4 linked regions of the Oreochromis niloticus genome follow. The protein of the gene in region 3 interacts with the protein of the main gene of each other region in a pairwise test. Links are inferred from orthologs where the notes say so. Each region holds a gene or a part of one and is shown on either strand. Other genes may lie near its edges.

Region 1 (7,939 bases), on a different chromosome or scaffold from region 3:
AGTGATTCTTCATTCTGCAGAAAGAGCCTGAGGTTGCACAGCTGCACAGTTGAGACATATCGGAGAAGCAGACAAACAAATACACATAGAATCCTTTACGAATTATGAGCATCCCCTGAGCCAAATTAAACACCACCATAGTGGCTGCCCCCTGAGCCAATCAGTATAAATCTGAGCCTGCTCAAACAGCAAATATACTGACGCAGGTTATTCCCTGATGTTTCATTAAAAATCAGCTCTGTTCAATGTACTACTGATCCCAACGACCAGGGTGACAAACAACATGAAAAAGGTACTTTCATTCAGTGGAAACGCACACCTCTGTAAGAATAAAAAAGAAGATATAATAAGCTTCAATCTTAATTGGAGGGAAACAAACAAAGAAACTCTTCATCTGACAGATATATACAGACAGAAAATTTACCCACAACTACAAAGTGACATGACAGGTGACGTTTGGATCTGAAAATTGGGAGGGATTTAGAGAAAGTAAGTGTAGGAACAGGTGCCATATCTGAGTTCATGAGTTTCTTTGACCCAACAGAAAATCTGACACCACCCTGAGTACATTATTGCAGTCAGTGCTGAGTGTTTTTCATACAGGGAGCCTAAGAAGATGCTACTCATGTAACTGAAGAACTGAGTGAAAGTCTTGAATGAATAAATCCAGAATGCCAGTAACACGCTTGTCAGTGTGCTCCATTTTGTAGGCAAACATGAACAAAGCATCTGCACACAACAGCCTGAAACAAAAGCCTGGCAACACTGGCCCACAATATTCACTTTGCTTATTGTCTGGTGTGACTCAATAGGCACTCGCCTGCTACGAGCTACACAATAGATGACAGACAGTTTACCCTTCACTCAGATATCAACATCAACTTCTCCTTCACCTGATTTCAGAAATGCATCTTTGAAGTCATTCTTGTTAAGATTTATTACTAAAAATCCTATTTTTCAGGAGGAAATACATGACAAAACAAATATTTTTTTATAAAGTGAGGAAGCCAGAAGACAATGCAAACACTCCCCACAGCTTATGGACTGACTCAGCCCTGGAAGTCCCTGTTAAACATTATGTCATGAGATTTCTTCACTGCGTGAGGACACTGTGATTTGGCACTGTGTGAAAGAAACCAGCCTGCACCACAGAGGGGCCTTTTTATAAACCAAAATACCAAAGTCATAACCCGGGAGACGGTCTCCCCTGCAGTGCAAAAACCAGAGAGCTCAAGCAATTTAAAAACCAGCATGCTGAATGTTTCTCTGCAGCATCTGGATGGAAAGAGGCTGGATTTCCCTTTGTGAGACTGCCTGATTTAAGCAGTTTTGACACTTTCTGACTCGACAATTTAGTTCGTAGAGACTCATTCTCATTAGGGCTCTCCTGGAGTAAAAGAGAAGACGTAATCAAACCTCAGGATCCCATTTCCCACAGTAGAAAGAAAACAAAAAATAAATAGATATATAAACACATTACCTATGTACAAAGATTGCAGATACAATCTCTTTACAAGATTTTGTAAGTTTGTGCTGCACGGTAATATTTTTAGAAATACACAAGTGCTTCACTTTATAAACATTTGGTCTCAATCTAATGGCTCAGGCTGATGTTTCTGTCTTAAAATTTGCAACTTAAAATAACTCCAGTCAAATAAGTACCGACACTCCTCCCAAAGCTTTCCACAGCTTCAACATCCATAACAACTGGCATACACCATGAAATCTAACACTGGACCCACATCTGAACCTTGAGAGCAGGATCATGAAAACTAGACAGGCAACATTGCAAATAAAGATTTTCCTTAAATATTATTAAGATTGTTAAGAAGCCTCTGCATCAACTAAAGTCTCATTTATATATATGCTTTTGCATCCAGACAGCTGAGGAAAGAATGTATAAGAATGCAACATTCAGGGCTATACTGCAACACTCAACTGTGCATATGCTTTATCTAATTGTCCACATGCTTGCAGCATGACACTGGTGTATTCATGATATGAAAGAAAGATGGTGGCTCACCACAGGCTGGTCTGACCAGCTTGTAATTATGTTGCTAAGATCTCTTTGCAAACATCTTTTTTGATAAAACACATCCCCCACAAGATGTTTGGGTTATACAGGCTATAAAAATAGATAACAGAGCTCCTGCAGTGTCATCCACAAGCACCACGAGCCAAAACTGAAAGAGGAGTGAGCACTGTGTCAATGTCGATTAATATAAACATTGATCCAGTTTGTGGATGCTATCGTTTCTAGAAGACAGCTAATAAAGCACAAGTTTGGCATGTGAGGCAATGCTGGTTCTAGCCAGTGGGGTTATGTCCTGTAAATCCTGTTACACCAGCCTGTCAGTCAGTGTCACTTCAGGTGGCGTTTATAAATCCCGGGTAGCAATGTGGCGTCTGGTCTTAACACTGCGTGCGCACACCTGCACATCGGTTTCGGTAAAGTAAAAGGAAACACTTTAGTAAGTGCAGACATGCAGCATGACAAAGGAGACTAGCAGCGGCTATGCTAACCACCCCCACCCCGCCCGCCCCATGCCCGGCTGTCAGAGCGAAGCAGGGCGCATGTTTGCGGAGCCCGACAGCTGATAGCGTAAAATGAAAGGGAGGGGGGGTGAGGCGAAAAGCGTCTGACAGACCCCGGCCGCGAGAAAACAAGTTGTCGACAGCATTAAGTCGCTACTTCAGAGTAATGAGAGCAGTGTCAGTGAGTTGTGCTAGCACCAAAACTGAGAATCATACCTTTGCTTTGCCGGCCTCCAGCTTCTTTTGCCTCTCCTCGTCTTCCATCCCCGCAGTCCCTGTGGCTAAACAAACAGAGAAACTGCCTCATGCGAAGTATCCGCGAGAGAAATTTAAAAGCTAACAGCTAAATGTCCCTCTCTCTCTCTGACTCGTGGCTCGCTCCCAGAGACTTCCACTGGTATTAACTAGCTGTCTCCTTGTTGGTAGTCCGCCGCCATGTTTTCCACGTAAACATGAGACCCAGTAATGATGACGTAGTGTAGGTGCCTTCACAGCCACGCCCACTGGCAGCCCAACGGTGGTGCGTTCACGCTCAGTCAGAAATACCGTCCCCAACATGATCGTCGTTTTTTTTTACCACTTCAAATTTCTATATATTATGTTATATTGTTACTATTTCTGGTGTATTCTTAGCCATATCTCTCTTTAAAAAGTCATTTTTATTTTCAGTGGGACTTTTACACCTGTATAAGTAAAAGATATATAAAAGTAACGTTATGAAAAAGTGACCACAACTCCCAAATAGTGTCAGGAATGTTGGACAGATTATAGGCCATCAAGTCACTCAGAGCAGGCAAATACAGGAAATCAAATTTTGGCAAGCGATCACTTTTTCGTATGACCACACAGTACTAGAAAAAGTTTTTTAAATACTTTAATTCATTTATAAAAAAAATAAAGTTAAAAAATTACATTTCGATATATATATTGTCATTAAAAAGTCTGTTGTCTGATGACCAGAATCTGTTATTTATTGCAAACCTCCACCTACTGAAAAAGGAAAGTGTTTTCTTACTCAAGTTCTCACATGGTTGTTGCTGAATTGTCTCCCAGAAACTTGTTTTTAGGTGAGGTGGGAATACCAAATTCAACTTCCAGCTAATTAATTCGAAAAAATTCTTTCACTGTCAAGCTCTGATTCTGACTTTGAGTAAAAGAAGCAATGACATGACAATTAATTCAGCACAGTTTTAGTATATATCTAAACAACAACAACAAAATAATAATTAAAAGTAAAAGTATAACCCTGTATCCAAAAACAGCGGATAGATTTAATCTAACTAATTTTAACCACTGTGTATCCTGTTCTCGGGCATGCCCCGCTAATGCCTTTGGACCAGAGTACTGTAAAGCTTAATGATGCCCAGTGGATGAGAGCATATTAAGTATTTCAATGTAATGCTACATTCTGCTTCTACTTTACCATATTTTCTTTGCAAATACTGTAGTTTGCACTCATACAGTGACATACAAATCAGTGAATCAGAAATTATGATCCAGTATATACATGATTCTGAAAAGTGATATTCAATATAATAAGTACATTTACTTTAGACACTAAGTATATTATGATTTAATAACTTGTTCACCATGAAACCACATAAGCCTTTAATATAAATTTTACTTTTTAGCCCATTTTTTTTTCACTTTGTGAAACAATTATCAAGCATGTTCAAACCGGTTTCACTCCCTGCCACTTGAAATACTCCTAATCCTATTGGGTAGCTTTAAATTTGTCTTCTATAAATATATCTTGACTGATAAAGTAATGGAGGCAAATGCCAGATGCTATCAAAATAAAATACATGTCTCTCCATTTGTACCCACATAAGTATCTCACTAAAATGCATTTAGTTGGCGTCTACCATTGAGGGTGGTGATGAAACACTTGCTGACTGCTTTAAATCCAAACACACCACATTTCTCCATAATTTATGATTCTCTTTTTTTCTCTGTCTTTGTGGTTTGAAAGATATTTGTGAATTTGTAGAGCCATTACAGAAAAGAGGGCTGAATTTCTCACAATGTAAAAGATTATTTAATGCAAAAATAATACATTTAGTGCTAATTATTAATAATCCCGTCACTATATTTGACTACAATCCCATAAATTTCCCTTCATTCTCTGCAGTCTGAAGTCTGCTTGTAAAGTCTGCTCAGTTTCTATGGTAACAGGCGAGGAGGAGAGGTTGCCAGAGCTGTCCCAGTTGAGAGTTTTCTTTTTTAAACACAGAATATTTTCATATCAAAGATGTTTGCTGCTAATAAAGGCTCCAGCCGTCACCTCACATTCTCCAGCATGGCGTTTGAATGGGCTGCATCACCAAGAATGCTGCCATATGTTAAAGAGGAAGCACGTGAGCTGTCCCAGCTGAATGGTGCTGCAGGTAATATGAGAGACTGGCATCGGTTTCTAGGACAGATGGGGACGATTAAAACAAATGGACAGGCAATATTTTACTCACAGCCTCCATGTGGGATTGATCTTCAGTCTTAAAATAGTATATATTTAATTAAAGTAGCATATTCTTGGCAAACTAAGGGCCTTTTATCTTTCCTGTCATTTTCTCCCAAATAAGTCAGTGATAATATAAACTTTATGGCTTGATCGTTAGATGAACTAATCTTGTTGCTTTAAAGTTTTTATTTGATCACCAGTGAGCTAATAGGGGATATGGGCAGTAATTCAGAGGGGTCTTTGCTGGGATTTTAGAAATCTGGAGATTATTTGTTACACATTTGCTTAAACGCCATATTTCCCCAGGGCATGCCTCAAACTGCAAATGTAAGACTAACAAATTTTAACCAGTTTTAATATTTCATATTCTTTGATTATTTCCTTACACTGTTACATTTTATTTCAATTTCCCTGAGATTAAATTCCAGGTGGACCAACATTTATTCCCTTTTTATTTGCAGGCCAGTCCAGTCTTAAACCAATATCCTACCTAAGCGTTTTGCCTCAGTTTCACTCGAAGATTTCTTGTTCTAACATCCAGGTTAAAATATTCTTGTAGAATTATAAAATATTAAACTTTTCCTTATACTTCCAGAAACATACCAGTAGTAGCAGTAGCAGCAGCAGCAGCAGCGGGAGAAGATGCTCTGTGTCTTCGGCTGACGGGGGCTGAACAGCTTATCGTCTGGCAGATTTTGAATTCCACCCATCTTCTTTTGGACATTCTCACCAGCCTGATCTCACCTGTGAAAGCTCGCTGTTTGAGCACCAGCGTCTGCAGGAACTTTTGAAAGTTTCGCCAGTCTCTGAATTATTGATTCACTCAGGGAGTATACAGAGTCTACAATTACCCAAGTGACTTTACCAAGACAAGCTCAACAAATGAACAGCATGCATGCTATATTTATAAGTCAGAGGGTGGTGAATAAAGGCTGTTAGAATTAAAATGATAGAAACATCTATATACTGAAAAGTAAAATAAAACCACTTTGAACCATTTTTCTTATAACACTTTAAATACACATGGTGGACAAAAGATTAAAAGCACCATTCAGCTGAGACTTATAACACTTTAAATACACATGGTGGACAAAAGATTAAAAGCAACCTTAACTAATGTAGATTATCATCACATCCAGTGCTGCGGCTCTTTTAAATTAAAGTGTATTTATAGCCCAGAAGTGTCATATAGTTTCACCTCCTGAGATCCTCATATGATTACATTTTTTTTTTAATGCTTTTCTTCATCCTTATACTTCATTCTGCTCAAAGTATTCTATATTTTATTACACAATTGAGACTTTATTGTGTTATGCTTCATAAACCCAATATGTAAAAATGAGGACATGGTTGCAAAAACAAGCTAAATCATGGCCTATCCGCCACCGTGCTTGACAGTAGGTGGTGTGCTGACATGCTGTACTTACCTTTCTCCAAACATGGTGTTGTGCATTATGGCCATGAATCTCCACTTTGGTCTTTTTAGAGAGAAGAGGCTTTCTTCTGGCAGTCCATCCAAACAAGCCATACTTGTTAGAGATTAGCAGCACTGGGCTGCCACTTGCCCACTTAATTCCTATGGAAACAGTAAGGGTATACTAGCTGAAATTCCTCTTCAGTGTTGTAAGCGACTGATAAAGTCCTGTGAAAGCTTCACATGACTGTTTGTATTACCAAAACATGTATGATCTATTTCTATGTTTAAGAAATCTTGGCTTCTTGTAATCTCTTATGAGGCCAAATAACTTTTATGGGGGCTAAAAAAATACATGTCACACTCCAGTAGGTTTAGTTAAGTGCAACAAGAAAGCTGGAAGCTCAGCAACATGTGGGAATGTCTCTGTTTCAAATACAATAGCAGAGTAGATCAGATTGAACCACTCTTACCATTTATGGTGTGTTATAGCCTCTCTTTATCTTCTGTCATAGAGTATAAGTAATTAAAAGACAGACACAAAGACTATAAGGGTCCCTAAAATACTTTGGATACGTTTAAGAAAATTTCAGGTGTGCAAATGCAAATGTAACTGTGACCTGTGGATGTGTGAGACAAATTTGAATCGAGACTCCAGCTGCCCAGCTGTTGCGATAGAGCTCACTTCAGTCTCAAAGCAGCAGAGCAATGTGTATTTGCATAATGACAATATCAGTGTCATGCATTAAAATATGCATAAGTGGGGGGACTCATCAGTAAAGAGACGCACTGGGTCAGTACGTTTCTCAGTGGCAGGCTGTGAACCATAACACATGGTAAATGTCCTTTTGTAGCTTGTACGAGAGCATCTGCTAGCTGAGACAGAATTAACTATTGATGCCTGTAACAACGGTCCAGTCCTCTATAATGCTGTGTTTTTATTATGTAATTGAAGCTTCCCAGGTTACTGAAAAATGTCATTACTCTCCGAGAGCTTCACTAGTGACTGAACACACTGTAATTTAGAATGTACAGTATGTGCAAAGCAGAAAAGCACTTATTCAGGGTCATCTCCATGGAGATGTCCTTTAAATTGTTTTTGAAAAATTCAGGTTTTCATCAAACTAAGAAAGGAAAAATTCTTGATGCACACAGACCATACATTTTTGAAGGTTAATTTTAATTAAACCACGTCTTTAAATTTGACTAGTGGTAAGCAAATGACTCAAAATGTAGAATACATTAATTTACACATCACTTATGTAGGATGTAGTGAATTAAAAATAATTAAAATTCAATAAAATGTTTGAAAATTGATATTGAACAATATTAATAGAAATGAGGGGAAACTGGGCAAATGGTTTTTCTAAAATCCCGCCTACCATCCTTACACAAACCATTCACAACATTAAGACGTCATCTGTGTAATATTGTGTGGATCGTCCTAAAAGCTCTGATGTTTTGGGGAATTAACATTGAACTACTGGGTATCCTGTGCTTTCTGGTCCTGTGGACTGTGAGGTGGGACACCT
Region 2 (7,774 bases), on a different chromosome or scaffold from region 3:
ACATGCAGCAGTCTAGCTGAACTTTGCTGATTCACTGAGTTTTTCTTGAGCCTTCTGGAGATTAGTCTTTATCAGGATTAGCTCAGTGTTTAACCATAACCAAAATTACACACTTGTGTCAACCATTAGATAATGCGCGTTCTTACTTGACACAAAACATAACAGAAAGCAAAAAAATCTACTTAGAAGACTTTTTTTTAAGGATTTTTTGTTTTGTTTGCAGAACTTGGCGCACACAGTGGAAAGGCTGCCCACTTCTATGGTGATTAAACCGGACGTAGCTTTTGCTGTGGATCAAATTTGGCAGAATTACGACTAAGAATTTTTCAAGACTCTTACGAAACCATTCACGCTGATTTAGAGTTTTGATTGAGCAAAAGGGTAGCTACGCAGATGTTTTCAGGCTTAAAGAGCTAAGTGATCGCATAAAAAGCAGATATTGTTTAATATGAAAGTATGCTGAAAACATTTAAGGAAGGATTCGTTGGTTTCCAAAAATCAGGAAAATCACTGATGTAGAGGACAGCCAAGGTCTTCCACAAGATTTGTGAATGGGCAAATCTGTCATGTTGAGACAAGATAGACATCTTTTTCTTTTTTCTAAACTGCTGAAAATGAGATTCACACAAAGATGCATTTACACCTGTAGTTCTGTTCTTAATGAAATTGTCTGCATGCAGACACATTGCAAGCTCCAGGTACTTCAGGTGAAGCAAAGCATTTGCACACCCAGTATAAAAGCACAGGTCTTAGGAGTGTCTTGCTCATCTTCTACAGTGTGTTTTTGTTTGCAGTCGTTCGCCCACAATCTCCTCCTGTTTCTATGGAAACAAGCAGAGTACAGTATGCATACAAATCTGCTGCAACACCCCAAAACGGTCAAGAACTTTTGCATTGTTTGGTAGTTGATCTGTTTATATTTCCTGATCCCTTTATTTATTCAACCCTGTCCTACTGAATGTATTCAATCATCCCACTGAAAGAGGGCCATTCATTCCCATGACTCTGCATGGGTTCAGTCAAATAAGAATATTTAAGATGACCTGCAGATCAGCTTACACACCCTTCCCCAGAATCAGTATGAAAACTTTGCTATCTTCGGAAACTTTTTGGGTCTCCTTGCACTATATGGTCAAAATGCCCATACCGAATTAATAATTACTAATCAGAAAAGGTTTATGCCATCTTAAAATAGTTTAAATTGAGATTTTTTGTGTCCATTGTCTGTGTTCTTGTTACAGTACACAGTATAGTCTTAAATCAGCGCTGATGTAACCTTCCTGGATATTTTTTTCAGTCATGTCATCAGCTGTTCTAAATTCAGCAGGGCTGGACTGGACGTCCACCTATTTCCAATCCAGCCTTTTGTAATGAGAGAAAAAAATAACGAGTAAGCCCCGACGTTCAGTGAGGGGAAAGAATGAGCAATGCTGAAATGAAAAGCACAGACAAAGCCACAGAAAATTAAACAGCAAAAACAGTGAGAGAGAGAGAGATGGAGATAAAGTTAGGCAAATAAAAAGTATTAACAATGCGCGGGCCCAGTTGTGTTATTTGCTGAACAACAGCTGCAAGGATCCTGGTTACACAACTGAAATACCAACACTCCTCCTCTCCAGATGTTCTTCTAGAAAGTTCAGCATTAGCAGTATGATATCAACATTTGCTCATTCTCCCACACATCACCTTTATTTTCTGAAAGTATTTATTTACCGTTGTAAATATTTTATTTGACACTATTAAAAGACATTTAGTACTGAGAAATGAAGAAGAATTTTGTTCATTTTTAAGGCAAACCTCTGCCACTTTAAGCATCGGGAACACAACAAATTTGTTTGTCTGATGTTGTAGTTTATGTTTATAAAATCAGAAAAATACAAAATATCTTGCTAATTTTGTTTTTTGTATTTTGTTATTGTAACATTTATCTCATACAGATTACACTTTATACTCTAAAATAGCTTACATTACCATAACTTTGTATTTATGACGTTGTTGCCCTGCAGTATACTGCTGCACAGCTATTCGCACATTTCACTTATAAAGTTTAATATTTTGCAATGATTTAATGAAATTTCTTTCATTTTATTCTACAATTTCTTTATTAAACTTGTCGTTTATTCTGCAAAAGTGTAACAATGACAGTGAAATTACCCAGGTATTTCTAAAATATCTTGCCTGATAGATTTGCTCCTTTTGCTTCTGGTGCCCCATTAATGACTTTCCTGGTGCTTAAATAAGAAGAAAAAAATGGACTAATCTGTCAAAAATGGGACACTGGCCTCATTATTTAAAGTGTTTGGGGACTTCTTCACCCATAGGACTTAACTGTCCTATAGGCATGAAGGAATCAGGGCTATTTCTATTTCTAAACCAGAAAATGTAACAATAATAATAAAGATCCAGCAATGCTTTAATAGTGCAACATTTTAAAAGCTGCAAACATGCATGTGATTTATAATTTAGCTTCATGTTTTTATTATTATTTATGCACCAAGCACTGCGTAAAATGCTGAAGCGTGTTATTGAAGTAAACCACAGCAGGACGTCATCCTCCCTAATCCAGTTGTTTTGATCCAGAGATGGAGGTCACACCCATGAGTAAGCAATTTAAACAGCAATCACCTTCAGTCAGCACGACCGCATGAAAGGGAATAACACGACATGCTTTAATTATTAAGTTAAAAGTGATTTTTACAGTCTGACGTTTTATCTGCAAAACCTGCAAAATGCAAACGAGGTCTGTTCTGCTTTGTTTAAATATGTTATAGCTTATATAAAACTGTAACCACCACAATCTGCACACAAAAACACTTGTTGTTTTTCTTTTTCTTTTTCTGTGAGCATCGCCGACCTGCAAAAAGCAAAGCTCCTCTGACTCACCTCTGTCTGTTTCCTGAGACTCCAGCTCGTCTGAAGCTGCCCCAGGCTCGCTGCTGCTCTTATTTATACCAGCGGATAACGGGGACGGTGCAGACATGTGATTCACTGACCAAGCATGCTGCTGCCGCCGCATCCAGCTCTCAAAAGTACCGCAATGTGAACACCAACTTCCTGCGTTACGCTTCAAAATAAACATTTAGAAAACAAAACGAAAATATTTTCATGCAAATTGCTAAGTTTCAGTTTAGGAATCGCAGTTCAGTAATTCTACTTACCTCTTGTAAATTTTTAACAACAAATATGGATAGACTTGCCAAACGTCTTTTCTTTCTTTTAAAAACGGAATCATCTGAATAAGTCTGAACTGTGCCCGACAGAAACCTCCAAAACTTGATGATTAAGATCATGTAATAACACTACAAAATATAAAAGCACAACCATTCAGTAGTTAGCACTGACATCTGCTTTGCTGATTAGAAAAAAAAGGCAAAAAAGAACAAAATAATAAATAAATTATTGAACAGCAACAATAACAGAAAAGAACCACTGAAACAAACTGATATTTTAAGATGATGCATTTAGTAAAAAGATAATATTTTTGGGCTGTAACATGAAATTAATAACAAAAACTTTTCACATATATATAGACCTTCATATAATATGTATTTATGACATTTATTATTATTTTATAGTTTGATTAATACATTAAAATATCATTGATAATAGTAACCTAAAACTAATACAACAGCAATAACAATATTAGACTCCTACACCTTTAACGTGGTACATCCCAGAATGAATGAGGGCCCTAAAATAAAATAAAAATCAGGCCAGTTAATTATGTTGAGTTTTTTGTGTGTAAAATACCTTTTTTGTAAGATGTAACACACATGCTCCTATCAAGATAGTCTTCAATTAATATTTTATAACTGATTATATGTTATTGTGTTCACTAAAGCGCTATTTAAATTGAATTCAGATTCATTCATCAATTTGATGTACTTTTCTTCCCCACATGCTTCTTCCACAAATTACGGAAAGCAGACTTTTATTTTGATATAAATAATTGTTTCCTGTCATGGTTGCCTTCAATTGTTTCTGGCTTGACATCAGTGAGAAGACTTTTCCAGAAGTTTTTTGTCATTTATTGGCACCTCTCAGAGGTGGTGAGCAGACACAGAAACATTTGACGCATCCTGACAGTGACTCAACATTTAAAATGTTTCTTTATCGGCATTTTACCAAACCACACTGGAAAAACACTGTTTCATAACAACCAACAATATACTGCCTGCAATAAACTACTGAGGATGTAAGCTTCCTAATGGATATACTATTATATAAGTATAAATAGAAAAGTACACAATGTAATATTTGGGTTAAATTAGTTTGCTGTATCATTGTATATACAGTGTTTGTGTTTAGTCATAATCACATGATTCTTCTGCAGTACTTTCTCTGCAACAGATGCAGTTCAAAAGGATTTACACTGTTTAAAGAAACAGGATTCTTGATGTCTAATAAGAATGAATGAGGAATGAATGAATTCAGAAAAAAAGAACATTTGTGCTGTTCCCTTTGCTTGAGATCTGCTGTAAATATATGATGTGGTTGATCTTGCTGAATGAATTCGGGCTGATTTGAAAAGACTTGAAAAGCTTTGTTTATTTCTATAAGACAGGAAATACTAGTGTTGAAGTTAAGAGTGTGGGAAATACTGAAAAAAATGTTACCGGGGGTTGTTGTTTTATTTTTTAAAGCTTCACTTAACACAAAGACCCAACAAGGCTGGAGTTGGCTCCTGTTTTGCTGATGAGAGCGAGTTTTCAGATAAATTCAAGGACTAAGTGTTATCTTAAAAATAGATAATTCTGAAAAACAAAAGCTCCCAAAACTGAAACACAGAGCTGCATGTATTTGCTGATGTTTTGCACTTGCGTGTTTGTCCCAAGAGAGCAATGTCATCCAAACTCCAGTTAAAAAAACTCAGAGGTCACCGAGATTGTTTTGACAATAGTCATTCTGCACCTGCTTTCCATAAGTGTGAGAGGGATTATGGGAATTTTAAACATATGACTCAGGAGTGTAGGAAAGTTAAAACAGAAGAATACGCTCATGAATGCACATCAAATACAAATGCAGTTCCAGTCCAAGTGTCTTTAAACACAATTAATCCTCCTAACAAACAACTTACAAGGGCTTGTGTTGTCTCAGGGCACCGATGTTCCAGTAAATCTCATGGACACGCACAAAGACACACAAACACAGCGGGTAAAACACAAATTCTTTTGTTGTGCGTCAGCTTCAGTCGTGTCTCTGCCGAGCTGTGATCGGCAGTGTTAGTTAGATGTTAGTCTTTAAACAGCTCTGCAGCTTAAGTTGTGTGGTTTAGATCAGTCTAACACAAGTACAGACTAACCTGTTGTCAGCCCACAGAGTTCGACACTCCTTAGTGAAGTTGTTCATAGAGGCATCCGCGTCCTCTTAGAGTCACAGTAGTTGAGTGGGTTGATCAAACTGGTGTTAAGCTCTTTGGTCAGGCAGGAGTTGTAGTTGGAAAAATACAACTGTATGTAACTAAAATTCATTAATTACATTAAACAAAACAGCAATAAACACACAGTATACTAAGTTCCCATGTTTGTTTGTGAAAGTGTAAAAGTGTAAAAGTAAAGTTGCTACACTAGGTGGCACAAACTCCATTCTAATAAGGTCTCCTCCTCCCAGGACTTAAAGTTTGAAGACTTACAGTGAGGGTACTTGACTGGATTGTTTAATGCTTTCCAAACATCATTAGCACACTCGCGGTTACATTTCCAACTTAAAATATTTTACGTCTTGACGTTGAAATAATAGAAAAATTCAGATGACAACAATGATTTGGCATTTATTTATTTTTAACCTGTTTATATTAAATATAAACATGTTAAATAGTCTTATATTTAAGCCATTTAATCTGTGTAGTTACAAGCCAGAGCTGGTTATTACACAAATAGGCACACAATTCTACAACGCTACAAAAAATTGCCAGTGTTGGTTAACAGTTAATTGCATGTGTACTGTACTGTAGTGCCTTAAAATTTAGGAAACTATTTTAAAATATTTTGCTTAGAGGCACCTTTGTAGCCTTGGATTTGACTTCTATATGTGGTGTGTATCATTTGGTTTACAAATATAAATGGAAACATGAAATCTCAAGTCATACAGTAGTGGTATTATATAATAATAATATGGACAACAGCTCAGCTGCAGGATCTCACTGTATCTGGATTAATCACCAACATTGAACCCAAACATCTGTGTCAACATATTGAGTCAAATATGGTAGAAAATATTCTCCATGTTTCACGTGTGAGTTGACCATGACATTGAACAACAACATAGCAAAGCTTTAAAGGACGGTTGGGACCCAAAAGATGGCGCTCATGTGATGATTGTGACACAGTCACACTGTCCTCTTCTCTTTGTAGTCCTGGAGTTTTGTTGTTTTTACAAAACTCTCTGGAAGGTGTTTCATCAAATCGAGATGATGTTTTAATGGAGCAAATTGCCATCAGAAGACTGTGGAGGATGAGATTCTTGGAACATCTTGTGTTGTTCATTCTTGATGAGTTTCATCTCTTTTGAACTTACTCACGGCATAGAAACAGCACATCACACCGCTGTATTAAAAACAGCTTTTAATACATTTATATCAATATTAATGGGCAAGATGAGAGTATATTGACAGAAGAGCAGTTTTCACATAGCAGCGGCTCAGCATTTCAGCACGTACACACGCTCGAGATGACCTACTGAAGTTCAAACTGAGCATTAGAATTGGGTAAAAAGTTAATTTAAGAGTTTTGAAAGTGGCATGGTTCTTGGTGACAAATGCGCTGGTCTGAGTATTTTAACTCTGTCCAACTTGGTACTTGCAAGGTGTAGCTAATGAAGTGTTCTAAACTCTGTTGCAGGTGATGTATTCAGGGTAACACTTTCTTCTAGCTACCTTCCAGGGGTCACCACAGGGGCTCATTGGCCTCCACCTTACTCTCCCAGCACCATCTTCAAAATTCTTTGTCCAGTATTTCTTCCATCTTTCCTCTACACATGGATAAGCCACCTTAGCCTTGTCTCTCTAAATTTGTCTCCACACTATCCTATTGTTACTCCTGGTCATTCCCCCCCAAATCTTAGCACCTTCCTCCAGCTCTGCCTCCTGTCTTTTTGTCAGTACCACAATCTCCAAACTGTACGTCATCCCTTTACCAGTTCCTCCACTTACTGTCCTTCCTACCCATATTGTGCCCCCAGTGGCTGGTAAGACAAATATAGCAAGAAAATTAAACTCGGCTGTGCTTAAATTCTTTAAAGAAGTCCTTTGAAAGAACCAAAGCAAAGATTCGGCTCCTCTGAGTTGTGGGCTGACATTAGACAAGGCATGCAGGACATCTGCTGTATGTAACACAACAGTAAGAAAGCAATGACCTCACCCTTCCGAATTCCTGACAATGAGAGGTAACAGAGAGTGAAAGCGAGAGAAATACTATACCAGTGAAACATCATACTCAGGCATTCTGGGGAATGTGTTTTAAATTTACAATTTGTAATTTGTAATAGAAAACCAAGTCGGAAAGGTCGGGTGAATTTGTCATCTGCAACTCACATTAAGCCTTTTGGGCTACACATGACCTGCGTGATACTGGCTAATACTTGAACTTTCATCATTTCACCAACTGATTGGTGAACACATCCAGTGAAGCATTTAGCTTCCAGAGAAACATATATGTTACTCATTTTATGGTTTGTGTTGTGTTGCTTGAGCAACCATCTTTGTTTTGGTCAAAAAGTGCCCTGTAATTATTATTGCCACATGAGCTGATGAACACCAAAACAGAGGTAAAAGAAG
Region 3 (6,882 bases):
CACCAGCAGATGTTGCAGAGACCTGACAAGGCATATGAAAACAAAGCAAGAGAGGAAAAAGTGCAGAGGCAGCAAACATGAAAAGCCACTTCTCTTTCCACTTTACTTCCCACTCAATTCTGTCTGTCTCTTATGAGTGTGTGTGTCTGTGTGATGGTCATTGTGCCTATAAGGAAGCTCTAGCCCTGGAACAGCCCCCCACCCCCCCCAACCATACACTCATATAGACTTTAAAACACAATGCCCCACCATCATCACCAAGCCCAGTATTTATAAGCCCCCACTCAACCCTACCCACCTCGTCAGAGCCAGCTGACCTACTTCCTGTCTAGCCAGTCCAGCAGTGGATGACTGTAAATTCATCTTAGACCATGTGTGTGTCTGTCTATGTGTGTGTGTGTGCGCGCGTGTGTATTGCTCGGGAAGATAGGTATTGTTCGTACATGTTGAATGGACAAACCTTGGTTTGTTTAAGACTTCTCTGGAAATCATTGTTTATTTCAGCTTGTAGAACATGTTGTTCAGGTTGTGTAACTTAGTTACGGAGGAAATCACAAAAGACATTCACAACATAATATTACAAAGGAAATAGCTGGAGTATAGTTTGGGGGAAAAATATTAAAATAAAGGTTCTGGCTTCCCCTAATGTAGCATTATGGTGGTAGGAAATCTCTATTCTATTTTTTCTCTTCTATTTTTTCCACTTCCATCTTTTGACTCAAGCACTATTTTTATGAAAAATATGAAAACTTTTTTTAGAGCTGTACCACTTCATCAAATGAAATATCTAACATAGGAAAAAAATAAATAAAATAAAATAATAATAACAATAATAATAGAATCTTAGCTTTGAGGCTAATGAAAGTTTGAACTAACCTACTGGTCTTGCCTAAAACCTTTAAGGCTCTTAGTGTTGTGAACTCATCACTACTTTTAAGATAGTAGTAATCATTTGACATAATTATATATTCCCATACTCCTAAATGCACTTCTATGTAAAGGCAAACATGAGCATCTGGATGTGTTTGCACGTCCTTGTAAGCTGCCTCTAAGTCACAGTGACAGACACTTGAAATCCTGCCTCCTAAAGAATAAGGCATCCATGGCTGAACTCCCACTCGCCTCCTCATTCCTCTTTCAGTGTTTCTCTGTCTGTTTTATTCTACTCCTCTTCTTCTTTCAGATTTCTCTTTCCATTCTGTCTTTAATAGAGCTCGTCCCGCTGATGAAATTTTGCTAGGCGTAAACCTAAAAAGTAGCACTTATTTTCCTAAACACTTGATTCACAATTCCTTGGAAATATTATTCTTCTTTCAAGCAGTGCAAGGACGTGGGCGCAGAGACATAATGCTAGGAGACAGAACGACTGGCAGAGAGACAGGGAGGTACATTCAGTCAGTCAGATAGACAAGGTGATAGAAAAACAGGTGATGAAATTGATAGAAAAGAAACGGAATGGAGGTAGATGGATGAGTTGGTGTTAGTGAAGCAGAAACAAATAGGCAAGAAACCATGAAGCAAGAAAGAGACCAGCAAAGACAGAACTGGAGACAAAAATGGCATGTGGGCACAAACAGACGACAACTGCGCTGTGTGAGAGAGACAAAGCAAGAGGGATGTGGTTTTGTTTCTCAAAGCGGCAAACGGGTCTTTAGCTGAAGCATCCCTTACTGCTTTATGCAGTTGACTATCAGCTTGGCAGACACCTACACATTAGAAACACACGTACTGCCCAATGAAGTGAAAATATGGGTCTCCACACATAAACACAGGCTGTTTGTGTATGCCTGTCTGTTTGTGTGCACGTGTGTGTGTGTGTGTGTGTGTGTGTGTGTGTGTGTGTGTGTATTATGGTTTACAGCACATACTGGATGAACAAAAGAACTGGCTATTGCAGCATGCAAGGCTTCAGTTGTGACTTTGAGTAGGTTACAGTGACTACAGGTAGGTTGGCACGCTTGCCTCTCTCTCTTGCACACACACACACACACACACATGTACACACACACACACACACACACACTGAGTAAATACCATGAAGAACAGCAAGAGAGAAAAAAATCTGGATAGATATGAGTTTGACTTAAAAGCAGTTTCTGTCCTGTTCTTACAATACACAAGCCACGAGAATCAGCAGTGTGTGGTAGAAATAGGTTAAATTCCACTCTGAATCAATTCTGATGAGGCTATAATAGGCTGGCCCACTGAAAGAAGATACACAACACCCCCTATCCAGGTCAGCAAAATCACAGCCTCAACCTTAATTCAGCATCACACACAACACCGACCTTCCGGTAACTGACTTGAATGAAGATAAGCCTTCAGATGTGCAAGCCAGCTGTAATGTTGGTTAATGTCTATATATAATTTGATCTATAATTTGACACACTGTGGCGGCCCGTCTCCCACACATCCGCCTTTTGCAGCCTCCTCTGCTCTGTGCCGGTTGTTATTCAGGGAGCACTGTCAGGTGCAAGAGAAGGAGGAACGCGCGAGCGCACACATCAATTTTCTTACACACAGACACGCACACACACTCTTTTTCTCTTTTTTTCTTTAACAGAAATTAAACGTAAATTAATCTTACTCTCAAAGTAGATAGGTCGATTTCGTCCAGACTCCGTGCTGGAGAGTCACTCGCCATGATGGAGGACACAAAAAAGCCACTGTCTGTTGTCCGATATCCAGAAACGGTCTTAGCTGTCACGACTGTGTGGTCTCTTCTGCTGCTAGGTCTACTATCCCCCCTCTCTCTTGCACAGTGATGTGTCAATGGATGACAAAATAATATCAGTCCCTTTCTCGTCAGCAGCTGGACGCTCCTCGGGCCTGGAGCGCACAGCTAGAGCGCAAACGCGTGGAGGATAGAAAGCGATAGCACCGTGTACATCAACACTTGGAAGTCCATGTCTGCGGGATGTAGACCATACAGAGTAAGGTGAAGCAATACGGAGACTGATTTGTTTCTGGTACAGAAGCTGCTGTGACAGCCAGCCAGTAAATATAGAGAAGGAGGGAGGTGGGAGCCGCTTTCCCTCAGCAAACCACGCCTGTTACCGGGCGGGGTTTACTGAGGCAGCGAGGACTTCCAAACTTTTTTCTTCCTCGTGTTTAATAGCAATGTCCTTGTACAAAACAAAAGAAACTGACTGAAGAAATACTTTCTGATTGTTGCTTATATTTCCCTGTGTACTTTTGATTAAATAGAACACTATGTGTATTTTCTTTATTTATTCATTTTTTTCAGGAAAATCGGTATATTTTAATCACAAAAAATGTAACCTGGCCCAACACACACACAAACACAGATAATTATTGAATCCATCAAATGTAAACACACAAGGCAACTGAACTGGTGTCTGTTTATCAGGTTTCCTGTTACCTTGCAACCCCTTTCCCGTTACACTTAGGAGCCTGAAGCATTTTCATAAATCTGTGGAAACATGATAAACAACGAATAACATTCTCATTCCACCAAAGACAAGACGAAACCTCTCTGGTCTCTGGATCCAACTCTAGGTTCCCCTGAATTTGTCTGAGGGCAAGCAAGAGACAAGAAAAACACAGTAAATGATTTATTTATTAATCAATTATTTTAAAAAAACGACAACAACAACAATACTACTACTACTGATAAAATAATAACAATAATAATAATTTTATTTGTATAGTACTTTTCTACAAAGTGCTTCACAGTGTCAATAGAAGCCACAGATTAAAGTTAAGTATGCCTGTTCAAACATACAGACACATTAATGGACATTAAATCAACAGTACGGTCAGACATTCATTCCAACATACACACTTCCATACATACAAATAGTTATAAAGTATAGCCCAAAGCAAAGGGGGAAATTAAGGGAACGCTTATAAAAATGTGTTTTCAGCAGTTATCAGTCGACCTGATAGAGGCTAAGCGAGGTTGTCCCACAGGAGTCTGCTGATTCTGTCAAACAAGAACCTTGGATTTTGTTTATCATCATTAACCAAACCAGCAACATAAGATGTTCTCGCATATTTCATGAGTGAGTTGAGTGTGGAGGAAAAAAGTTTCCAAGTATTTACGTTACAGTACATTGTAAAAATAGCATTGACTTCCATCCAAATTCAGTCAGTGTAGTTTAATATTATTAGTACTAGGCAAAGCAAGCAAAAGCATGCCAGTAGAAAACAGATGGAAACATCAAGACATCAAAACACAAAATTCCACACTGACATACCTGTGAAAGGAACTTCCTTTTCAGTGGTTTTCATCATACCCTTTTCTGAAGAGCTTTCTAAGGAAGGTATGTTTAGCTTTGAGGTGAATTTTTTTTTCCATAAAGTCCAAACAAAAATACGAACAAGGAACAAGGAAAGAGAAAGGGAGCTCTTTTCAGGAAGAGAAAATTGAAAATTAATTATTTTCCAGCTGTGTGTTTTTGGCTTTACACCATTTATTTCAAACTGATTTTTTTTTTTTTTTTTGAAGAGAATTTAAACATTCAAGCAGATCAGAGGTTTTTTTGTTTTGGCTTTTCTTGTCACATTTTGGAGTACTGCCATGCATGACTTCACAAAACCTGTGTCACATGCTTATGAGAATTCTTAATGACAAATAAACTGAATTTCCGATCAGGTCGCTTTATATCCTTATGTGTCAATGTTTCTAAACCAGCAAGCAACTAGGCCATCTCACATGCCATAACATGCAGCCAACGACATTCTACTGAATCAGGCCTCCTGAGTTTTATGGAGTGTCATTTTCGAGAGAAGGGAGGAGCGTTCTGTACTCAACTGCCTTCAAATGGAAAAACATAAAAATTAAGCCTTTGTTTTTCTATTTCTTTTATGCTCCTTATGGGCATAACCAACAAATTGGTTTGTTAGTACTTCTTTTGCTATAGCAGAGCTGATTGCACACATACACAACTGGCCAACGCCCCTGTGATTTTTCACAATAGAAAAAAAACAATCGTTTAGCATATTATTCACCACTTTCCACTATATATGTTCAGCAATTTGTAATTCTCCATATACATTTTAATGTTTGGTTCATAAACAGTGGGTCTTTTATACAACAGTATAGACTTTCCTACTATATTCCCAAATAACTGAAGATGTCCTCCAGCCTAGCTTTTGCACCCAACTTTTGTTTTCAAAGTTAATGAAACATATTGATTTATTTTCCATATTGCAACTGCTGCTGATTTCACTGTTTCATGAGAAAAGAAATACATGTTTGCTCACATTCTTCGACCATGCAGAAGCTGTTTTCTGGGGGTTAACAGGTTCAACAGTTCTTATTTCTCATGCAACAACCTACCTGTTTTTTCACAGTTGGAGCGAGAGCCGTTGCTTTACTCATATTGACGTGTACTAGAGATGGGAATGTAGTCACACAGGCATTATAAGAAATTATTATGCAGGAGCCTATTATTGAAGCTGGTCTGTCAAGCCATATATCTTAGAAATGATCAAGTTTCATAGATGTGCCTATTTTCACGTAAAAAGGAAACAAAAAGTTCAAAGATATGCGTATTTGTTAGTCATTTTAATTACATAGTTTCAAATGAACAGATAGATATCGGAAATCTTTTAACTGTACAAAAAGGTTATTGTACATTAACTGAATGAAGGCAAGAGGTCCAGAGAGTTTACAGAAAGAACAGCTTCAAGGTGGCTATGAAAAAGAAAACGAGTCCAAAATCATCCATGTGAACGTGACATACATTTAAAAATAAATGTTAAAGAATGCTCAATTCTTTAAACTCCATAAATAATAAACATAGCAGACAATAATGTCAAATTCAAAACAGTTTAAAATGTAAAAGTTTTTTTTTATCATTTTACTAACAAAGAGAAATAATTTTCAAATAGAAGCACTTGATTTTACATCTGCCAATGTTGTGGTCCCAGTCATTTTCTCTTACATAAATGGCAATGATTCACACACTGGGTAAACAAAGGGTGCTGCCTTTACATGACAAAACTGGAGCTCTATGCCAGGTCAAAGTAATTATGTGGTTGATTTGTTAAATACCTTGTGATTCCAATGTGTCATAATTAACCGACTATGTGATTAGTTTCTAAAGAAGTGGTTATTTATCTTCACATTTAGGGGATGGTGATGCTCAAATAAGACAACGTGGAAAATATTAAAAATGAAAACAAACTGGGTAACACGAGTCAATATTTTCACATTTACAAAATATATAAACTGCTCGTGGATCACCTATCGCAAGTATCTCGAGAAAAGGTCATTTTACTCTGAACTGTTACATTACAATAAAAACAAAAAAATAAAGTCTTTGAAATGCTGTTTTCAATCTGGAACTACACAGAAACTGGAACAAAGCAATTTCAAAGCCTGACTTCATACGAAAGCTTTACATCCAGCTTCATCTGCATGCTTAATGACAAACATAATTGCTGTAGTTTTGCTGTTTGTTTTTGTTACAATGTTCAAAATCCATTTTTACTTACCAAGAGGACCTTAAAGATCCTTGAGATCTTATTTTCTAATTTTGCAACTGATTTTTAGGAAGCTAGCACCATCTGCTGAACAAAGAAGAAATTTCTCTTCTAAATGGACACGCCGATTGTCTTAAAAAGCCACTCGAATCATTTTACCAGGTCACAAAACATCTTCAACAACAAATAAAATGTCAGTGATGAGGTTTTGTTTTTTTTTTCTCAGAGGTGCGATTGGTACAAGCATCATGGCAATCAGACTTCAGCATAGTTAGTAAATTGTGCACTGCTCTCGAAACGGTAACATTGTTTCTGTGCAGTTGGAAACAAAGCAAAGAGCAAGCATATCTTCAATTTCTTACACAAACAAAATCTTCAAAACACCTCTGAGATTACATGCTTGTAAATTTAAATAATTTATCAAAAGCA
Region 4 (7,461 bases), on a different chromosome or scaffold from region 3:
GGTCGTTTTGAATGGTCCAGAGCAAAGATAGTATACTCAGAGAGAAAAGCAGGCTCTGCTATCATCCCGGCCAGCACCTGACCCCCATCAGTGCAGTAACGGGACGAAAGGTGGGGAAAGGAGAGGAACACAGAGAGCAATGAGAAAAACAACAGCATGAGTGTGAAAAAGCCCTGAAGGGAGTGGCTGACCAGCCTGATGAGAGGAGGCTGGCGGAGAGAGAGAGAGAAAGACTGAGATGAATAAAAAAGAGAAAGCAGAGATTGAAACAGAGGGAGATACACTACATAAGCTGGAAGAAAAAGAAAAAAAAAATCAGAAAAACTGAAAAGTCAAGCACTCAATCAACAGTAATGTTATGAGTAACAGTTTCACATCTCCTCATGTAATCTTCACAATTTTAACCAAGGGCTAAATCTGCCTTCAGTCATGAAACAAATGCTTTCAGAGATGTCAAAGTGTTAATGATTCGTGAGGTGAAGTAAAGATGCTGTGATGCTACACGAAGCTTCTACACTGAGGCTGCCGAGCCACATAACAGCAACACATGTGTGCTTCCAAAGGCACAAGTGGGGAGAGCAGTGCATAGAAACCTGACCAAAAGAGACGGTGCCACTACTCCAGTGAGCGTTCTGCAGTGTTGAAATGAAGGAAAGAGTGATTAAGATATTGTTTTATCTGAAAAACAACGAAGACTGTAAACATCCATATCTAATCTCAACAGATGTAATAACAACATTTTGCATCATCAGTTGTAGAGTCACTGCCATTAAACCTACGCTTATCTACCTCTTTCTAATGGAGCATAGTCCTGCATTGAATTGACTTGTCAGTATCTATTGAGGCATAATATTGCAACTAGTCACAGGAGACACAAAAAACACTGAGGAGGATACATCAATTATTCATAGACATGCTGAAACACTGTCTGCTCTACACCATTAAAACGCCCTTTCCATTGTCTCTAAAGAAGAAGCTGCTCAGTTGTTTGAACAGGGTCTCTTAAAAATGTAATAACAATAATAATAATAATACTAATGATAATAATAATAAGTGACTTCAGACACTTAAAATACCGTACGAATGGAATCCAAGTGGTGACTGCTCTGCAACATTAATGACCACACTGCAAGTCTGGCTCATATGTTCCCATCTGGTGTTGGCTATTGTATCCACTGCAATATGTTAAGGAGTCCAGGGTTCAATATGTCTAGATTGTTGGATTATTTTAAATAATTGGATCAAAGAAGTTTGCTAGTGACAACCAGAAGACTCTGAAAACCAATAGCACTAAATGTTCACTTGTTCACTTTCAATCAAAAAGGGACTTGTATGTTATAAAGCAGACAGTACGCTTAAACAAAGCATACAAAGCACATTTTTAAAGCCTAAGAGAAACAATCATTAGAATGTAAGCTGGGGAGGGACTTGGAAACCTCTGCAGGCTGTGGTCTGAACACAAGTATACATATATAAATAAAGATATGAATCACAGGCTGACACCATGCTCACCTCTCTGTCACTGGGAGAAGGTGTGCCATCACTAAATGGGGGAGTTTGGCTGCTACGTCGCTCTCCACTGCTGATCTGTAAAATAAATAAGTAATAAGGAAAAAGAAGTAATTATAATAAAAAAACATAGTCATAACAATAATATTGATTTTGTTGCCTGGCAATAAATCAAACTTTAATACAGATGCTTGCTGGGTGTAAGTTCTCTTGTTACTGGATTTCACCTTTTGTACGCCTTCACCTTTGAGCCAAACTCAGTCTAAGATTGTGGTTTTACAGAAAGTCAATGGGAATCATAAACTGCACACAAGCTCTGAATAACAAATGTAAATTTGTTCCTCAAAAACAGCCAATCTGCATAAGAACCAAGCCAATTAGAACAAGGAAATTTATCTATCCATCTTCCAAAGGTTTGCTGGATCTGCATATTTTATGCCAGATGCAGCCCTGTCATTTATCTGGATAGGGAATAAGCCCTAGCTTGTGAGCCCCTGAGGCTGGGTTTGGATCTCCTCCCAGAACTGAACTGGGGATCTTTTGCATGTAAGGCAAACAGAGAAATACAGCGAAAACATCTACATTAACTTGGAACTGAACTATGATGGACCTCCAAACTATGACACATACCTTCACTCCTTCACATATATTTAGGAGAGCTTAAAGAAACTTGCAGCTTCATATTTCAAAGAACAATTCGCATTTTTTTTCACAGAAGAGGAAAGCAAGGGATCTGATGAGTTTTCTAGCACTTTTCCAATGACAAACTTCCAACTTGAAATCTGTGTGCTACTTCTGTATTGTTTTTAATAGAGACGCCTGGGAGTAGTAGGATTTGCAAGGGTCAAATATAGCTTCCAGCTGACATCCACTGGCAGCCAATGCAAGAAGCATTAACTCAGACACGCCCATGTTGTCACTGGCGAGTATAAAAATGCGGGCTGGCATTTTGGCTACAAACAAGTTGATGATTAGCTGTAAGAAGTGAGACTTTTTCTTCTACTCGGACAACGGGATTTACCAGTTCCAGTTGGTCCAACCGCTGACAGCCAAGTTAAGCTGCTAACTTAAGGACTTAGCACGGTGCTAATGTTTCCAAGACAGTAAAAGGACAAACTGACAATTCAAGTTAGCTTATTAAGCTGTCATCTTGAGTTATCTTAATGAGACATAACTAGACAACCACTTCCAAACCGTGAAGCCTTTGCAGTATAAACAGACGTTAACTTAGCTAGTTAGCTCCGAGCACCACAACAACTAACCTGGGCCTGCTGAGGTGACTGCGCATTCCTCTGCGGAGACTGCTCCTCGTTTATCTTCTGCTTGAGTTTTTTAAACATCTTGTCACGCCGATATACGAAGCAACTGGTGACCGGGTGTCTACTTTCCGGCGGAGAGGTTTTTTGTTTTTATCCAGCCTATCATCCAGTACTCAGGGGCAGACTTCCTTGTTCGCTTCTAATTTTCTGCAGGTGGTAAGCCTATCCGCGCATGTGCGGCCAACGTGGAGGAAATCTGAAACGTCAGACTTAAAGGGCCCGTCTGGGCTGAGTTAGCTACAGCGCCCCCTTAGATAGCAGCGTGTTTGGGATATATTACAGCCTATTTATTAAGACATTTGGAACGTGAAGACACTTTAACACATGTGGTATACAGAAGCACATACAAAACAGCAAAAAACAAACAAACAAACAAAAACACAACACAAGGAATCCTCACAAAGAGGGATAAAAACAAACAAACAAATAAGGCCGTATTTTAAAAATTACATTCCAAGATACATGCACTAAACTCAGTCTTGCAATGTCAAACTCACAAACTCATTCTTAAAAACAGAAAAAAAACATTTTAGAAACACTGAATTTGCATTTGTGGATGTGGTATTTTGCATCACTTCTTTAAAACACTGAATGAAAAATATGCATGAATGAATTTAAAGATCTTTGTATGAGGAAAACAGATGGGAAACATCTTTATCTGAATTTCTTTTTTTAATGATAGACTGGCGATCTGTCCAGGGTGTACCCTGCCTCTCACGCTATGACAGCTGGGATAGGCTTCAGCCACCCCACGACCAAGCGGAAGAGAATGGACGAATGGATGAAGTATTAACAAAAAGTAGAAAGTGAAATCCATTTTCCTAAGTCTCTTCTTGAGCTCCCTGTTAAATCTAGAGTTAAATTTAAAATCCTTCTCCTCACATACATGGTCCTTGGTTTAAAGATCTAATAGACCTCATTGCATGCCCTACTCTTCACTCCAAGATTGCAGGTTTAGTTGTGGGTCCTGAAATTTCCAATGGGAGACAGTGTCTTCTGCTATCAGGCTCCTCTTCTGTGAAAGCAGCTCCCAGTCTGGGTTCAGGGCAGAGACACGCTGGCTATTCTTAAGATTACTATCTAAAAAGCTGTAACCTGTCAAAAGGTGCAGATAAATACAAAAATCACAGTTTGGACTCAAGAGGGCACTCTTTAAGCATGTTTTACTGTGATTTTCCTTCAGGCCAGTTGAAAACACAACTAACAAGACTTACATAAGGTTTCGTCCTGTATGTGCTATCAGGTTTTCCGGCTGGTAGTATTTTGTCTCTGCTAGGAGAAGTTTAATTACTTTCCCTTTAATCTTTGGCAGCATACCTAAAAGTGAATGTCACAGCGGGGGAAAGCTGGAGCATTACACGCTGTTGCCAACTTAGCAGCTTCTTGTGTTGTAATTAATGTCTTTGTGCTGCAGCAGCTGAAGCAGAGCCAGTTTTACCAGTGCAGTGCTGCTGAACCGAGCACAGAGGTCCGTACAATTGCCAGAGGATGACCTCTAACACAGCGGTTCTTTTGTCGGTGTGGCAGCGGCATTGAGCTGAAATGAGTTTTCTGTAGCAGTCTTTTCAAAGTTGAATGCCTTCAATAACACAGACAAACATGACACCCACAAAATGCTACCAGTGTTTTAAATTCATAAAATTTAAAGTATTTATTTTATATAAACCTATTCTGAGATCAACATGATTTACAACTAATAGCCTCCAGGTTAGAATCTGTCTTCCCAATTGGAACAAGGCACACGAGAGGCATACAGTGAGCAACACAAACAGATGAACAACAGCTCAAATTTATTATTTATATGATGATCTCTGATTAGGTCACTCTTCTTCTGGGGTTGGTATTAATCTTAAAATGATGCATATCTAAAAAAGACACTGTATGTTTGCTCTTAATCTGAGTCATAATGTCTTGGGTAATGTAAACTGTAACAGACAGTGAACCTGCTAGAAAAAAGTCTCACCGTAGGCGTGAGTCATGGTTTAAATATGTGGCGTTTTCCGTCTGTTGGGAACCAGCCTTGTGCAAATACCTGAAGAAAAAAAAAGCTTCTGAGTCAGACTTTGCTGTCTGCTGGAGAAAAAATGGAATTCATGTTGTTTTAGATCCAAAAGACTAAAATGAAAATGTGGCTGTGATTTGCATTTTTTCTGCATTCTTACTCTAATGCTTACGACTCGGCGGGGCTTTTGATCTACGACGGGTGACTAGAACGGTGGGTGGTTAACGCAGAGATGCAGCTCCTCTGTTCCTCTGTTTCGTGTGGTGGCTAATGCCTTACCCCAAGGCGTGCGGCAGAGAGCACATGAACTCAAAATAAGAAGTCTGGCTGTTGCAGGTCTGCTAGCAATTTTGATTTGGACCACATGTTTGCATTTCTAGAATCGCTTAAGGCAAAAAGAAAACTCTCCTACAAGGCTGTGACAAAAAACTACAAATTTTACCCTTTGGTTAAATGTCAGCTCCTCGCTGTTATGACTGTTGATAAGTGTAGGGCAACAGTATAACATTTACCTGAACGCTATAGAGGGAAAAAGACAATCTCTGGTGATTTAATGTACAATTTTATCCCCTTTGACTTTAAAAAGCTGTTTAAATAAAGTGATGTTTAAGGGAGAAATTTCTTTTTGATGGGCTCCAGAGATGATCTGACATGTAACATGCCCTTATCATATAAATCTTCCAAAACAATAAAAACCATTTATCTCTGAAAATAAGAGGAGGTGATAAAATGGAAATGGTTATAGACACATTTTATAGGAATATCACCTTTTAGCTGGAAGTAAAGCCATGCACGGCCTGTAGGGGAAGAGGGCACGCCTCAGATTCACTGCAGATGACACAGTGGCCTTAGAGAAAAGATTTATGAGAAGAGGAATACTAAAAATCCCCTGTGGAGTTACGGCATCCAATAAAAAACGTAAGCTTCTGGCAGCACTGGTGAACAATGAGAATCACCGTGACTTTACAGAAACGCTGAGCAGACTTAGTGCTTGAAAATCTGTAAGAGTAGCATTATGAGCTTTATAACTCTAATGTAAACTTCCAAGAGATGGTAGAGGTACAAGGTTATAGCATGAGAATATATTTTGCCATGGCATAAGTTTAAAAGTTTTAGAAGCTGGCAGGCTTTAACAATGCAGGCGACTGTAAAAAAGTTGAAATGTGCTCAAATGTAAATGTATATGGGCCCAAACTTACCTCAGACTTACACATAGACATACTTATTTCTCTGGAGGGATCCACACTGATTAAGAATTGATAGAGTTCACCTCCTACCTCCCACCCAAATATACATTTTCACAATTCACACCAAATCCCAGCAATACACGGTTTTCTTTTGACATGCTGATGTAGTCTCTGATTCTGATGCCACTCTGATATTTTCCTCATCACTTCTCTTTTTTAACAACAACAAAAAAAATCCACCAAGTAGAAAAATTAGTAAACCACTGCTTTGCTCTGCAAGGGGTAAAATCAGGCAACGGGTGTCTTAAAATACATCAAATCCCCACCAGAATCTAAATGATTATCATTGTTATTCAACCCGCCAGTGTCACATGACTTATTTCTCAGAGTTTGTGTGTAAAAACTGTTGTTTGACAATTTCCGTTTACAGAAACAAACAAATTTACAAGAAGAAGTAGATGATGACTGTTTTAGTCAAACAATGATAGAATCACTTGTGCATATGTAACTAAGTGCAAGGATGGATAATTCTAGCTTTAAAATAATCAGTCCTTTTTTAAAGGTTGAGTTAAAACTGTAACCAACCAACTAACCAACCAACTCCATCTCCCGTGGTGTCATCACCTGACTGTTTAGTGTCCACGATTCACGTTGCAGGGAGGCGTCCCAGCTTTGAGAGACTTTTCCAAAAGCCGTTTCTGGGCATGTGCATGTCACTGGCATGAAGATAAGCATTGCACAGTCATCAGTTTTTGTGCCCGGCTGACCAACGATGCATGAAAATCTGCAAACCTTTTCATGAGATGTTGACCCGATGAAGGTGTATTAAAAGGCAGGTGCCAAAATCTGCACTAATAACCTAAAAAAATATTAAAAAGCTCTTATTTTGTGAGTGTTCTACGATTATATGCATTTAAACATTTTACACAGACTTATATTTATTCATGTTATAATAACGATCCCATTTATACACATGCACAGACTTGATTGTGAATATGTGAATGGGAATTCTGAGAAGGGATCCCTCAGTTTTCTTCATTGTATTTGTTTTGCTTTAGCGAAGGTTGGATCCACAAGATGGAGCTACCCCTGCATGGCAACACACCCACCTTTCTTAGCGCAGGACAAGGTTTTGTGTGGGAAGAATAGTGAGAGACACTGCAGCTCTGTCAGTCTTATTGGACAGCCCGTGATGATTAACTGGAGCCTGAAAAGATGGCTTATTAACTGTCCTGGGAGCGAACAATAACAGAGTGTGCTAAAATGACACAGAGCCTCACTTTCAGAAAAGTGACACTACCACATCAATTAAAAAAGCCTAAAACAGAGTATTTATTGTACTCTTGCTTGTTTACTGACTTACCAGCTGCTGTCATCCATCTGTCTGAGTGAGTGCTCAGTGAAAGAGGCTGGTATTCAATTTATTTAACCAAATTTCATATAT

What was found.
Region 1: the proteins of tnika (region 3) and akap9 interact in a two-hybrid assay, tested with the Homo sapiens proteins (2 studies listed by BioGRID and IntAct). The link is inferred for Oreochromis niloticus from reciprocal best matches to the Homo sapiens genes TNIK and AKAP9.
Region 2: the proteins of tnika (region 3) and clu interact in a two-hybrid assay, tested with the Homo sapiens proteins (2 studies listed by BioGRID and IntAct). The link is inferred for Oreochromis niloticus from reciprocal best matches to the Homo sapiens genes TNIK and CLU.
Region 4: the proteins of tnika (region 3) and golga4 interact in a two-hybrid assay, tested with the Homo sapiens proteins (2 studies listed by BioGRID and IntAct). The link is inferred for Oreochromis niloticus from reciprocal best matches to the Homo sapiens genes TNIK and GOLGA4.

What each region holds. Positions count from the first base shown.
Region 1 is NC_031985.2:17,966,265-17,974,203, forward strand, and holds the start of akap9 (A-kinase anchor protein 9), read right to left. Parts: upstream 3,002-7,939; 5' UTR 2,800-3,001; coding exon 2,752-2,799; intron 1-2,751. UniProt on the Homo sapiens protein: Scaffolding protein that assembles several protein kinases and phosphatases on the centrosome and Golgi apparatus. Required to maintain the integrity of the Golgi apparatus. Required for microtubule nucleation at the cis-side of the Golgi apparatus.
Region 2 is NC_031980.2:16,613,833-16,621,606, reverse strand, and holds the start of clu (clusterin), read right to left. Parts: upstream 3,021-7,774; 5' UTR 2,884-3,020; intron 1-2,883.
Region 3 is NC_031983.2:19,800,166-19,807,047, forward strand, and holds the start of tnika (TRAF2 and NCK interacting kinase a), read right to left. Parts: upstream 3,009-6,882; 5' UTR 2,645-3,008; coding exon 2,588-2,644; intron 1-2,587. UniProt on the Homo sapiens protein: Serine/threonine kinase that acts as an essential activator of the Wnt signaling pathway. Recruited to promoters of Wnt target genes and required to activate their expression. May act by phosphorylating TCF4/TCF7L2.
Region 4 is NC_031978.2:21,684,909-21,692,369, reverse strand, and holds the start of golga4 (golgin subfamily A member 4), read right to left. Parts: upstream 3,021-7,461; 5' UTR 2,850-3,020; coding exon 2,772-2,849; intron 1,588-2,771; coding exon 1,513-1,587; intron 78-1,512; coding exon 1-77. UniProt on the Homo sapiens protein: Involved in vesicular trafficking at the Golgi apparatus level. May play a role in delivery of transport vesicles containing GPI-linked proteins from the trans-Golgi network through its interaction with MACF1. Involved in endosome-to-Golgi trafficking.